Linked DNA regions of Sus scrofa. The protein of the gene in region 1 purifies or fractionates together with the protein of each later gene. This does not show direct contact. Links are inferred from orthologs where the notes say so. Each region holds a gene or a part of one and is shown on either strand. Other genes may lie near its edges. The genes, in order: NAA30 and NAA38.

Region 1 (6,533 bases):
CTTGATTAGCTAAGCCAATATGGCTATGGTCCAAATTTACACTAATGATCAAATATATACTCAATTTTTTTTTTTTTTCGGTCTTTTTGAGAGCCGCACTCACAGCATATGGAGGTTCCCAGGCTAGGGGTCGAATCGGAGCTGTACCTACCGGGCTACGCCACATCCACAGGAACTTGGGATCCGAGCCTCGTCTTTGACCTCCACCACAGCTCATGAAAACGACGGATCCTTACTTAGTGAGGCCAGGGATTGAACCAGTGTCCTCATGGATACTAGTTTGGTTCGTTAACTGCTAAGCCATTCTAATGTACACTCACAATTTTATACTTAAATTTTCATTACCAATGATATAGTTAGGTTCACTGCACCTTTTACTTTTTGAAACTAAAAGCTGTGAATGTGAGATCCTTAACTATATGTGAATTATCTTATTTGGGGTAAAATTAAATATCCTTAAATCCCAGGATGACTTCCTTGTGCTGTCCAATGTGTCTATAGTCCTTCTCATACAACCACCATTTAGTGTGATCTGTCAGAATACAAACTACAAATGTGAGTAAGGAGCGTGAGAGTACCCTATTCTAACAAGGAATCGTGTTCATGAGATACTGCTAAGTGGAAAAAGTAGTTAATGCAAAATAATAATTGTGATGTCATTTGTATAGAAGACTATGTGTAAATATTTGCACTCAAATGTGCTCAGAAAGTGGGATGGAGTTCCCGCTCAGCAGTTAACAAACCCGACTAGTATCCATGAGGACTCAGGTTCAATCCCTGGGCTTACTCAGTGGGTTAAGGATCTGGCGTTGCTATGAGCTATGGTGTAGGTTGAAGACACGGCTCAGATCCCGTGTTGTTGTGGCTATGGTGTAAGCTGGCAGCTACAACTCCAATTTGACCCCTAGCCTGGGAACCTCCATATTCCTCGGGTGCAGCCCTAAAAAGACCAAAAAAAAGAAAAAAGAAAATGGGAGGAAGCAAAAATTTAATAGTAGCTATAAGTTGAAAGAAAGAGTTGAAATGTGTGAAGATGGTAAAAGGGACTCTGTACCCCAGAATATAAATATATAATGGCTAACAATTGTGTATAAATTTCATACCAAAAAAAACCTACTTTAAAAAAAGTAACCAAAACAAGTTACTTATTGAGATCCACCTGTTGAGGAAAAAACTGCCTATTTTCAAGTGTGATGAACTCTCTAAAGCACATTTGCCCTCCAGTAATAAAGGCAATTGTTAGTTGTACTGCTCACAAAATTACTAGCACAATACAACTCTGTTCCTTCTTAGTCACCACTGTTATATTAAAGATGATCTTCCCTAGTTTATATTGATTTCTTTCCACACTACATAACAGTAACATTCTTAACATTCCCAACCACCACTATTACTTACTGAGCATCAACCATGTGCAAAGCACAGTGCTGCAGGATACAAAGAAATTATACCTGCCATCAGGCCTTACAAACCAGCTGGAGAGAGATGCTTTTATGTTAATATATAGATAGCTCTACCTTTAAAAAGTGGTTGTCTTCCCCCCTCTAGCCTTACTATTTAATGCTGATTTTTTTTTTAATGTGAAATGTTCTTCAAATGGGCTGACAGCCCACATATTAAAAAAATTTAAAAAAGTACTAGAGAGAAATCAAGGTCAATATCCAAGTAAATTACAATAAGGTCTGTAATAAGTGCTACCTCAAATGATTTAACTGATAATAAATCAGAACTCTAAATCTCAGTTATTTACTGCAAATATCTAAAACTATCTTTATATTTTGACACAGAACAAATTTTAGCTCCCATTTGCATATTAAAATTTGTTCTAGGTCAAAATTCATGTTTTTAAATGGAATGTAATTTTCAACATGTTACATTTGCATAGTATAGTTTGCAATGAAATATGCAGTACAATTTATTATGGGATATTTATAAAAATGCCTAGTAGAATACTGTCCAGGAAAAAAGGTCTTAAACATTTAGACTTACCTCATCACAGTCTCCTTCAACCATGGCATATATAGCTTTCTTAACCAAGTTAGTACCTAGAATATAGAGCTGCGTATTAATGAAGTAAAAATGTAATTAGTTTCTCAAAGATGCTTAAATTATAATATTCATAAGCAAAGAAACATCAAATGCTAAGTTCTATTTTGAATGCAAATACACAGATTATCTCAAGTTAAATGGGGAAAACTTTGAACTGAAAGACCAATAGAACCTTCCATAGCAATGTAAGTTTCCTCTTGAAAGATCTAGCTCCTGATTCATCCTTTTCTCAGGTGTACATGCTATTTTGTTCCAAAAGGCAAGATATGGCCAGAGCATGCCAGGACCTCGGAATGTAGTACATGACTTTTGAGCCAAGCTTGCCAAAAATCACATCAGAATTGCTGGGACCCAGAGTGGGCCCAGGACACTGGCTTAGTTCCTACAAACCTTTTAGTAAGCCTGGGCACACTAAGGTCCAGCACTCCCAAATGATGTTAGTAGTGTGTCTATATCCAAATCTGATGTTAAGAGAAGAAATTCAAATTTTATAAGAAATCTCTTAATTTTAAAACCATGTATACAACCAGCACGCGTTACATGGGCCATACAAAACATGTCTGAGGGCCAGGATGCAATCTTTTAAGGCACTGGTTTCTGCCCTCTGAAGTAGGCCAATCTGGCTACCATTTGCCCTGAGTCCTAATCAGCTCTTTTAACTACATCAAAGACTCAAACCTGACTTATACAACAGGCCCAATTCATTAAAAATCTTAGTGGCAAACTGTAATTCTATAAGAAAAGTTGACTAAACCTAATTAAGTGGACCTATCTATGATGATTTCTCAGAATATCTCGGTATGAAACAGGCTTAAGTAGGACATTAACACTCATAGTTTTAAAAAACAACTACAGGGAGTCGTGGTTCAGTGGTTAACAAACCCAATTAGTAACCATGAGGACTCGGGTTCCATCCCTGACCTCACTCAGTGGATTAAGGATCTGGCATTGCCTTGAGCTGTGGTGCAAGTCACAGACCGGCTAGGATCCCGAATTGCTGCAGCTATAGTGTAGACCAGTGGCTACAGCTCCAATTCAACCCCTAGCCTGAAAACTTCCATATGCCATGGGTGCGGCCATAAAAAGACCACACACACACACACAAAACAAAACCTACAAGTTATAAAACTGCTAGTAACTAAATACTGATACAGGCATCAAATCTTCTTTCATGAATACTCACTCAGCTTCAGTACATTTCAGAATCTGTCATGCTCAGACATATGCTTGTCTACCTGATCCTCCACCTTGAACAAAGAGCCAGTAGGTCCTAGATAAGAGGACAGTGGCTCTTAACCAGGCTTACATCATAGTCACCTGGCGATACTTCAGCCCTACTTCTAACAGGACAAACAAGATTCTCAAGAGGAGGGGCCTAAGCATTTGTTTTTAAACCACTTAGATGATTCTAAAGACCATTATAAACCATGAGTATAAGAACATACCAGAAAAGACATGAATTTGGGAATAGTAGTAAGAAACAATTCTTCTTTCTCCTGGTTCTCCCTAATTGCTAATATAATGTTTGATGACAAGTACACCAAATAATAGTAACAATTTCTCCATAACTTTGCCTTCACTGAGGACCATTTAACCCAAGTACAGATAGCTGCTTGAGGGCTATGATCAAGTGCCCTAAATATGCTACTAAAAACTGCAGAACTTAGCATAATACAAAGCATTTTGGATGTGACAAAAAAAAAATGTTTGGAGGTGAAAACTGATCATCTACTAACTGTTAAAAAGATACCTCTCAAATAATGAAACGTTTTTAAAAATTTTATTTTACTATTTTTTTTTTTTTTAGGGTTGCACCTGCAGCATATGGAAGTTTCCAGGCTAGGGGTCGAATCGGAGCTGCAGCTGCCTGCCCATGCCACAGCCACACTGGATTCTGATCGAATCGGCAACCTATACCACAGCCCACAGATCCGAGCCACATTTTCAGCCTATGCTGCAGCTTGTGGCAATGCCAGATCCTTAACCCAGTGAGCGACACCAGGGATTGAACCCGCATCTTCATGGACACTAGACAGGTTCTTTTTTTTTGTCTTTCGTCTTTTTAGAACTGCACCCACGGCATATGGAAGTTCCCAGACTAGGGGTCTAATCAGAGCTATAGCTGCCAGCCTATGCCAGAGCCATAGCAACTCCAGATCCAAGCCGAGTTTGCGACCTACACCACAGCTCATAGCAACACCAGATCCTTAACCCACTGAGCGAGGCCAGGGATCGAACCCGAAACCTCATGGTTTCTAGTTGGATGAGGGGAACTCCTACTCAGGTTCTTAACCCACTGAACACAACGGCATCTCCTAATTGAACATTAATAAAGGAAATAATTCATTGTAAGATGATTTTGAAAATATTTTGGAAATGAAAACAATTATCTTCCCTTAGTTTCATGTTCATTTCTACATATTATTCACATTTAAGTCTTTTGTTTCAAAAAAACAAAAATGAAAATAACAGGCATTCTTTTTGTGACATAATATTTTTCTTACCAATGCCATTTCTCCTGTATTTGGAATCCACGGCTAACATGGCTATATAACCTCTGCGGAACATCTTTTTGTGCATATCCAACTTGCAAACGATGGCACCTACACACTCCTCCCCTACCATGGCCTTAAAAATAAACAGACAGTTACAAAGAATACATTGCCATCAGGTACTGTACAATTACGGAGGGAAACAGCAACCAACCGCTGGTCAGGGGTTTTGAGGCAGGAAGAAATGAGAATTTTAGCAAGAGAGCAGTCATTTAAGTTTCAGAAATCTAATCCCAGAACTCCTTCAAATGTTCCAGTTTTACAATCTTTCAACATTCTTTAGGCCATGAATTTGTTATGTTCATTATCAAAGCCTTGGGGGAAAAAAAGCAAAATTTCCACATAGTAAACATTCAAGTATTTTATAAGATGTGCTTATAATTAGCTGTAATAAAGACTTACATGTTTAAGATTTGGGAAAGGGAAAACATGTGAAAATAATTTAAGAAAAAGTATTTTCATTAGATATGATAAAACAGTGCTAAAGCTATCAACAGAGTACTATAAATTTATACTTAATTATAATAAAGTTTTAGGGAAAGCCAGCTATAAGATAAAGTATTTATACTACACGGTAGAGTTAGATTTTAATCAGGAAGAAAAAAATGTAAGAGATTTTCAGAAAAAAAGATTTTTTTCAAGGTATTCCTAAGATCCTACCTAAGAAGTTTTTGTTACTGAAGGACTACAAAGACTAGATATACAATGGTCTCATTTTTAGGACTCTCCTGACAGTGTGAGTCATTGCCATAAAGCTCATAGAATACCTAGAACTCAAAATCAAACTTCATATTAAAGCAAAAGCTTTAACATAATTTTTACAGCTTTCTAGCTTAATAAAAATGTACAGCCTTCCAGAGCTAAAAATTACATATTAAATTAGAGCTAATCAGCCTCAATTTTCATTACAATTTTCAGTATCACCATTAAAAATTTGTTTTTCAAAAGTTCTATCACTGACAAGTTCCAGCAATACTTCATTCTGGTAAATATAAATAGGGCAATAGTTCCAATTGTTAAATAATGTGTCAGAGAGAAATAATTGTTTGTTGTAAAGAGCCATCATTAAAAATTATTAAAACTTCAAATTATTCTTAATAAAACTAACTTTTCAGAAGACACTATTTCAACAACAAAAACTAGGACTGCGTTTTAAAAAAAAAATCAATAAGCAAAGCCCAATTTATATTTAACGTATTTTATCTTGAATTTGTTACAATTACTTTTTAAAGTTCATCATTCTGTAAATTGATTTAAAAGCATTTCTTCAACTATGGAAAAATCTTTAGGCAAGAATAATTCTAATCCATTTCACACAAACCTAAACTAGGTCAGAAAAATCCTTTTGAAGGGAAATAAAATTCAACAATCCACACTAATTCATTGTTTCAACAGAATCCAAAATTATTTGGGGGCAACAAACCTCTAAAACTGTTATTTTCTTTTTCTTTTTTTTTTGGCCATGGGTACAGCATGTGAAAGTTTCTGAGCCAGGGATGAAACCTGTGCCACAGCATCAGCCCAAGCCACTGCAGTGACAACGCTGGATCCTTAAACCCACTGTGACACAAGAGAACACACATTTCTATTTTTATTCATACCCATCTGGCTTTTCCAAAATTCTTTTGAAAACTATTATTTCTTTCTATATTAAGACCTGAAATAGTACACAAAAGTTGCCTGGTTAAACAACTCTGACAGTATTTTCTGATTTGAACTTATTTCAAATACGTGTGCGTATGCATATATCAGAGATGAAGTGGTACATTAAAAAAATTTTCAGGGAGTTCCCACTGTGGTTCAGCAGGTTAATAACCCAACACAGTGCCCATGAGGTTACAGGTTCGATCCCTGAGTTAAGGATCCAGCATTGCCACAAGCTGCAGCACAGGCCACAAATGCGACTCGGATCCAGTGTTTTTGTGGCATGGG
Region 2 (5,862 bases), on another chromosome or scaffold:
GGAGTCAGTTTATACCCACCTCTTTGTCTCAGAAAAGTCAGAGGAAGTTGTGTGTGTGTGTGTGTGTGTGTGTGTGTGTGTGTGTGGTGTGTGTGTGTGTGTGTGTGTGTGTGTGTGTGTGTTTAGGGCCACACCCATGGCATATGTAAGTTTCCAGGCTAGAGGTCTAATCCCAGCTGGTGCCACTGGCCTACACCACAGCTCACAGCAACGCCGGATCCTTAACCCACAGACCAAGGCCAGGGATTGAACCCGAGTCCTCGGGGATGCTAATCAGGCTCGTTAACTGCTGAGCCACGATGGGAACTCCCAGAGGAAAGTTTTGCTATTAACCCGATTAATCTGGAAGTAGCCTCAATAGCTATTACTCGGCTGACACTTAGCCTTCCCTGTTTTCATCTCTGCCACTGCAGAACTCTGCTAACTCCCTTCCAAAGACAGTAAATGAAACAAACAAACAAACAAACAACACAACAGCACAGTGGACTTCACAACAGGCCTGTGAGTTCCCATTGTGCCATGAACCTGGGCCCTGAGATATTAACTTTATGTTGAAAAGAACCTGGACTTTGGAATTGGGAAGACCTGAGTTTGCATTCTGGTTATTAATTAGTGTGCCTTTTGTGCTATGAAATCTTGCCACGCTTCAGAAGACGTATCTGTACAGTAGTGGCGCTGGGGCCCATCCTATGGGCGGTGATATTAAATGATGTGTATAAGGCGTATAGCGTAGTATCTGGCCTGAATTATCTGATGACCATTCACTTTCTTTCTTCCTTTTGGGTTTCAGCTGCCAAATAGTATTCAAGAGAGAGAGAAGCCAGTTTTGTATGGCCAGAGATAGACATTCCCTATGCCTGTCTTTGGAAGCTTGCAGCCACCCCATTCCCATCATCGCCAGGAAAGAAGGACTTTTCTTTCTCCTACTATCAAAAAGCTCCACCTGAGCTCTATTTGACTATCTTCTTCTACATCTCCCTGACTTAAGACAGTTTTTTTTGTTTGTTTGTTTGTTTTTGTTTTTTTTTTTTTTTGGTATCATTCCTATAAACTACTTCACTTCTGGCATTCTCCCCAACTTTCTCAAAGTAAATTGTAATGAAGCGGAGGAGTAGGACCTTTACGCTTCAGCAGGGCCTGGAAACCACAGGCCAGCTCCCAGAGTGGAACAGAAGTCTAGCCGCGCGTGCACGCGCACACACCCCCCCCCCAACACACACACCCCATTCCCACCTCTTTTCCTAAGGGGCACAGAAACAGCTAAACTCAAAATGTCTTGACTCTACATAAGCATCCATCTCCCGCCCTATAGCTCGGTGAGGTCATCATTGAAGTAGAGGAGCAACGCAGGTGTATGGTGTGTACTGTCCACATCGAGAGAATCAAGCTCTTCCTCCTCATCCCAGATACCGTTGTCTTCCAGGGTATCATCCATGTTCAGGTTCTTCCCTTCATATTTCCATGTGTAGCTGGCGGCATGTGCATTATAGGGGAGATAGCGGTGTAGGATTTCCCACAATGATTCCAGAGCCCCCACCTGGAGAACAGAAAAGCAGCCCACCCCCAGTCTCCTGAGTGGAAAGCACCCATGTGCATACAGCTCGCGCGCGCGCCGCGCGCCGCGCGCACACACACACACAAAGCAAAGCAAAGGCCAGGAGCCCCAAAGATGATAGAGCTGGGATCAGAGTGCTTCCCTTGGCCGATAGTGGCTTAAGGCATTCCACAGTCCCAGAAATAAAGATGGAGCTCCAGCATGCAATGAATGGCCCCCAAATCCTACCAGCCTTTAGGGCAGCCACTTCTAATAAACAGTTGGCCCTAAAGTCACTGCCCCCTCACCTCATCTCCACAATAGAGCAGGCTAATAAGAGAGTCCACCTGCAACTGCTGTTCAAAATTCAACATGAACTTGGGAGGACCAAACTACGACGCCCAAACTACCCTGGACTTCTGAGGGAGTCTCTCACACCTTGTGGCTCAGCCACTCCTCGAATTGCTAACCCCGGGGACCTACATGGTCGTCTTCTTCCCTTGGTCACCCGTAAAAGCGGAAAAAAAATACAGCTGCCACTAGTTACGGAGAGCTGCTGGCCTGCAGATCTGCGAGGAGGTTTGCTGGGACTCCCAGTTCCTTCTCACCTGCCCCCAGGCACCAGTTCTCACCTCCAGCGTGTGTTCCTGCGACGTGAGCGTGTTAATGATGCGGATAGTCCGGGTCTTGGCGGACAGCCGCCCCACCTCGTAACGCGACCCCTGCCACCAAGGCTTCCCGAAATCATTGGCCCAGTCCGAACGCGGCAGCTGAGGTGGCACGTGCAGAAAGCGGCCCCAGGGGGTGCGGTATCTCAGGCAACCGGTCAGCGGATCTATGTGCTTGCGGATCTTTAAAGTAGGGTTTGGCGGAGGGGGGTCTGAGCAGTCACTATCTCGGGCTCCGGTCAGCCCCTCCGCCTCGTCCCCGCTCTACAGTGCCCCTCCCCCCAACCCCAGGTTCCAGCAGAACTCACGTCTCCGGTGTCTGGGTCGAACCAGTGGCTGATGTCCTGGCCCGCAACTTCCACGATGGGTTTCAGCAGCAGGTCTCCTGGGAAGGGGCATTCGTGTCAGTGCTAGACACCCAAGAACCAAGCACCCCCAAACGCACGCCCGACGCCGGCCCAAAAGTGCAGCCCTTACCCTTGTACTCCTGTGCCAACGGCGTCAGGTCGTACACGTTTCCCAGGTAAGACACCCAGAGGTCTTCCAGCTGGTTGTGTTGGGCCACCTCGGCCGGCGTGAAATAGCGACGCTGGAAATACTCAAAGTCTGGCCCGGCCACTAGGCCCCGGCGCAGCATGGCTCTCGCCCTCTCACCGGCTCCTTCAGTTGCGCTCTTGCTTTTCAGCGCGCACTCACTACCGCATCCTCCCTCTCGTCCGGGAACTAAGGAGAGGGCGTTTATCCGCTGACATGGAAACCATTGTCCTTTTCCGGCCACCGTCTGTCAAGATCAGACGCTGTGAGGGCGAGGTGGGGCTCACGGGAAACGTGGTCCGATTCCGACGTTGAAGTAATTGAGTGGTGTCCTCCGGAGTTCCGGGGGGAGGAAAAGACCCTCCGTTTTAATTTTGAGTGGCCTGGGCTATAGGGAGTGCTTGGGACGTACTATCTCGCGAGGCAGAAAAACAAGGGAGTGGGGAGTGCGATTAAGAAAAAAGGTATTCTCGCTTCCTTCCAGGGTTCCTAAAGGATATGTAAGAACCGAGAGAGGTGAAAACTTCTCGCGATATCTGAGGACATCCGGCGACCTAGACCTCAGCGAGCCGTTCGCCGAAGCAGGAGACGCTCGCGAGATCTCTGCAGTTGCCGAGGAGACGAGGAGGGGAGGTGATCTCGCGAAAGAAAACAGGTCGGGAGCGCTCGCGAGATCTCAGACCCCCCGGAGCCGAAAGGTTCTCAGCAAGTTGAAGGGCCTGGAGGAGGCCCGCGGACAAATGGCCGGAGCTGGACCAACTATGCTGCTACGAGAGGAGAATGGCTGTTGCAGCCGGCGTCAAAGCAGCTCCAGCGCCGGGGTTAGCGCGGGCTCGGGTTCTGGGATTGAGGGGCCGTCGGGGAGTAAAGTGGGAGGACGGAGGGAGAACTGCAGCTCCCGGCAGCCTCTGGGCTTCCTGCGAGCGCCCCGCGGGCTGTTGGGAGCTGTGGTTCCTCGGGCGGGCAGCAGCCGGGGCGGTGCGGTCTGAGCACATGTCCCGCCCCGCGCAGGACTCAGACGGGGAGCGCGAAGACTCGCCGTCTGCGCGCGCTAGGCAGCAGCTGGAGGCGCTGCTCAACAAGACTATGCGGATTCGCATGACAGATGGACGGACACTGGTCGGTTGCTTCCTCTGCACCGACCGCGACTGCAATGTTATCCTAGGCTCGGCGCAGGAGTTCCTCAAGCCGTCGGGTCAGTGCCTGGGGAATGCATACCCGCCTGGGAATGCCTCGGAGCATTTCCCCTTCAGGGCCTGGCTGTATCCCTCATTTTCGGGGGCCAGAAGCTGTAGCTCAGAAGGGGCGGGACCGACGCTGGCCTGCCTCCCTGATGCTCTGATCCTTCTTTCCAGATTCCTTCTCTGCCGGGGAACCCCGTGTGCTGGGCCTAGCTATGGTACCTGGACACCACATCGTTTCTATTGAGGTGCAAAGAGAGAGCCTGGCGGGGCCTCCCTATCTCTGAGCCCGACCGCGCATGCCTTTCAAACTTCATTAAACCTGTCACTGACATGGCCTGTGTCTGTGTGTGGTTGGGATGCGGGGGGCAAGGATTGCACACCTCCCCCCTAGAGGAAGAAGAGGTTTATCTGAGGTCGGGGGCACTCTCAGCGCTCCTTCCACGTCTAGTGCTGCCAGAGGTGCCCTTATGGTTCGGGGGTGGGGATGGGGGACAGGCTGAGCCTTAGACCCACAGGCCCCAGGGTGGGCCCCATCTTCCCTCCCACGCTGCTGGTCCGGGAGGGGGTGGTGTCATCCTGCTCCGGAAGGCCCATTGTTTCCCTCCCCGGCCTGGCAACACCGAGTTCCTCTAAGCTGGGGTCAGAGAACAGGCTCAGATCCCCAAGGGGAGCAGGACAGGCGACACAGGCTGGGCCTCCTCCACTCTCTTGATGGGGAGGTGACTTTGGGGTCAGGGACAAGGGCTCTGGGGTCTGGACAGGAAGGACGGGCTAGTGCGATAAGGGAAGGCCGGGAGGCCGAAGGATGCTCCCTTCTGCACGCTAGAGCCACACATCCCTCATCCTACCCCCACCCCCATGTTTCCTGCTCCTGGGCACAGGGCAAGAGTGATAACATTGGCGCTACCCCTGTGTTCACAGGATCCCAGGATCTCGTTCAGTTATCTCTTTATTGATGTGTGATCACTCCTTACCCTGCACCCTCGTGCCCCATCCCCCACCCGCAGATACTAGGAGCAGCACCGGAAAAGGAGGGCACCGGCAAAGTTCAGTTGTCCTCTTCACAGGGCGGCAGGAGGGGTGCAGGGTCCAGCCCAGATGTTCAGAATTCAGATAGTAGTGAGGGGAACGTGGGTTTCCCAGGGTGTATCGAAGTTTCTTTCCACCAGCGCTGGGACCACAGATCCTGCTCTTCGGTTCCCCAAGGGGATGCTAGGACCCGGCCCAAGCAGGCGTGGGGGCAGGGTAGGTCGGGAGATTCCCGGGCTTCAAGTCCTTGGGCCCACTAGGAGGGAGGGCAGTCATCCGGGTTGTTCTTGACTCGAGAGTCCTCAGACCCAGACCTTTCCTGATGTTGGAACGGCCCTCTGAGGCCCGGGTGAGGCCCGGGTTTGCCGCGGCTGCGGGGCGCCCCGGCGCCGGTAGAGGGCTCGGCTGTAAGGCACGAGGCAGTCGGCCAGGCGGAGGCGCAGGCAGAGGCGGCGGTAACTGGCCAGGGCAAGCACGAGCAGCGGCACGAGGAGCAGGAATCCAGTGACCAGCAGGGCCGTGAAGCCCGGGTCCCGCAGGTGCGCGGTGCAAGGGGGTGCCTGGGAGCGCAGAAACTGTGGGAGGAGAAGAGGGGTGAGGCCCAAGCCAGGCAGCCCGGGCCGGGAGTGGTGACCCGCAGACCCCACCGCCCCCATCCCCACACGCCCACACGGGCCGCCCGCTCACCTGGGAGTGGCAGAGGAAGCCAAAGCCTAGCATGGTGACGGCGGGTAGCAGGATGGTCCCCAGCACCAGCGCCAGCAGGAGAAGATTGAAGGCAGCCACCAGCAGGTTCTGGGCGGTGACCAACACAGCGCAGGCCCAGCAGTCCAGGGGGTCCCGGGGCTCTGGGCTGCCGCCACCACCACCACCACCACCACCACCGGGAACCGGTCGCTGCGCCCCGGGGACA

What was found.
Region 2: the proteins of NAA30 (region 1) and NAA38 purify together in Homo sapiens (co-immunoprecipitation; 3 studies listed by BioGRID and IntAct, with this or other methods). This does not show direct contact. The link is inferred for Sus scrofa from reciprocal best matches to the Homo sapiens genes NAA30 and NAA38.

The regions. Positions count from the first base shown.
Region 1 is NC_010443.5:186,534,989-186,541,521, reverse strand, and holds part of NAA30 (N-alpha-acetyltransferase 30), read right to left. Parts: intron 4,678-6,533; coding exon 4,554-4,677; intron 2,046-4,553; coding exon 1,990-2,045; intron 1-1,989. UniProt on the Homo sapiens protein: Catalytic subunit of the N-terminal acetyltransferase C (NatC) complex. Catalyzes acetylation of the N-terminal methionine residues of peptides beginning with Met-Leu-Ala and Met-Leu-Gly.
Region 2 is NC_010454.4:53,109,638-53,115,499, reverse strand, and holds NAA38 (N-alpha-acetyltransferase 38, NatC auxiliary subunit), read left to right. Parts: upstream 1-3,252; 5' UTR 3,253-3,476; coding exon of another isoform or gene 3,477-3,516; coding exon 3,517-3,931; intron 3,932-4,091; coding exon 4,092-4,204; 3' UTR 4,205-4,251; downstream 4,252-5,862. Other genes in the region: TMEM88 (transmembrane protein 88), read right to left, coding at 5,252-5,524, 5,637-5,862.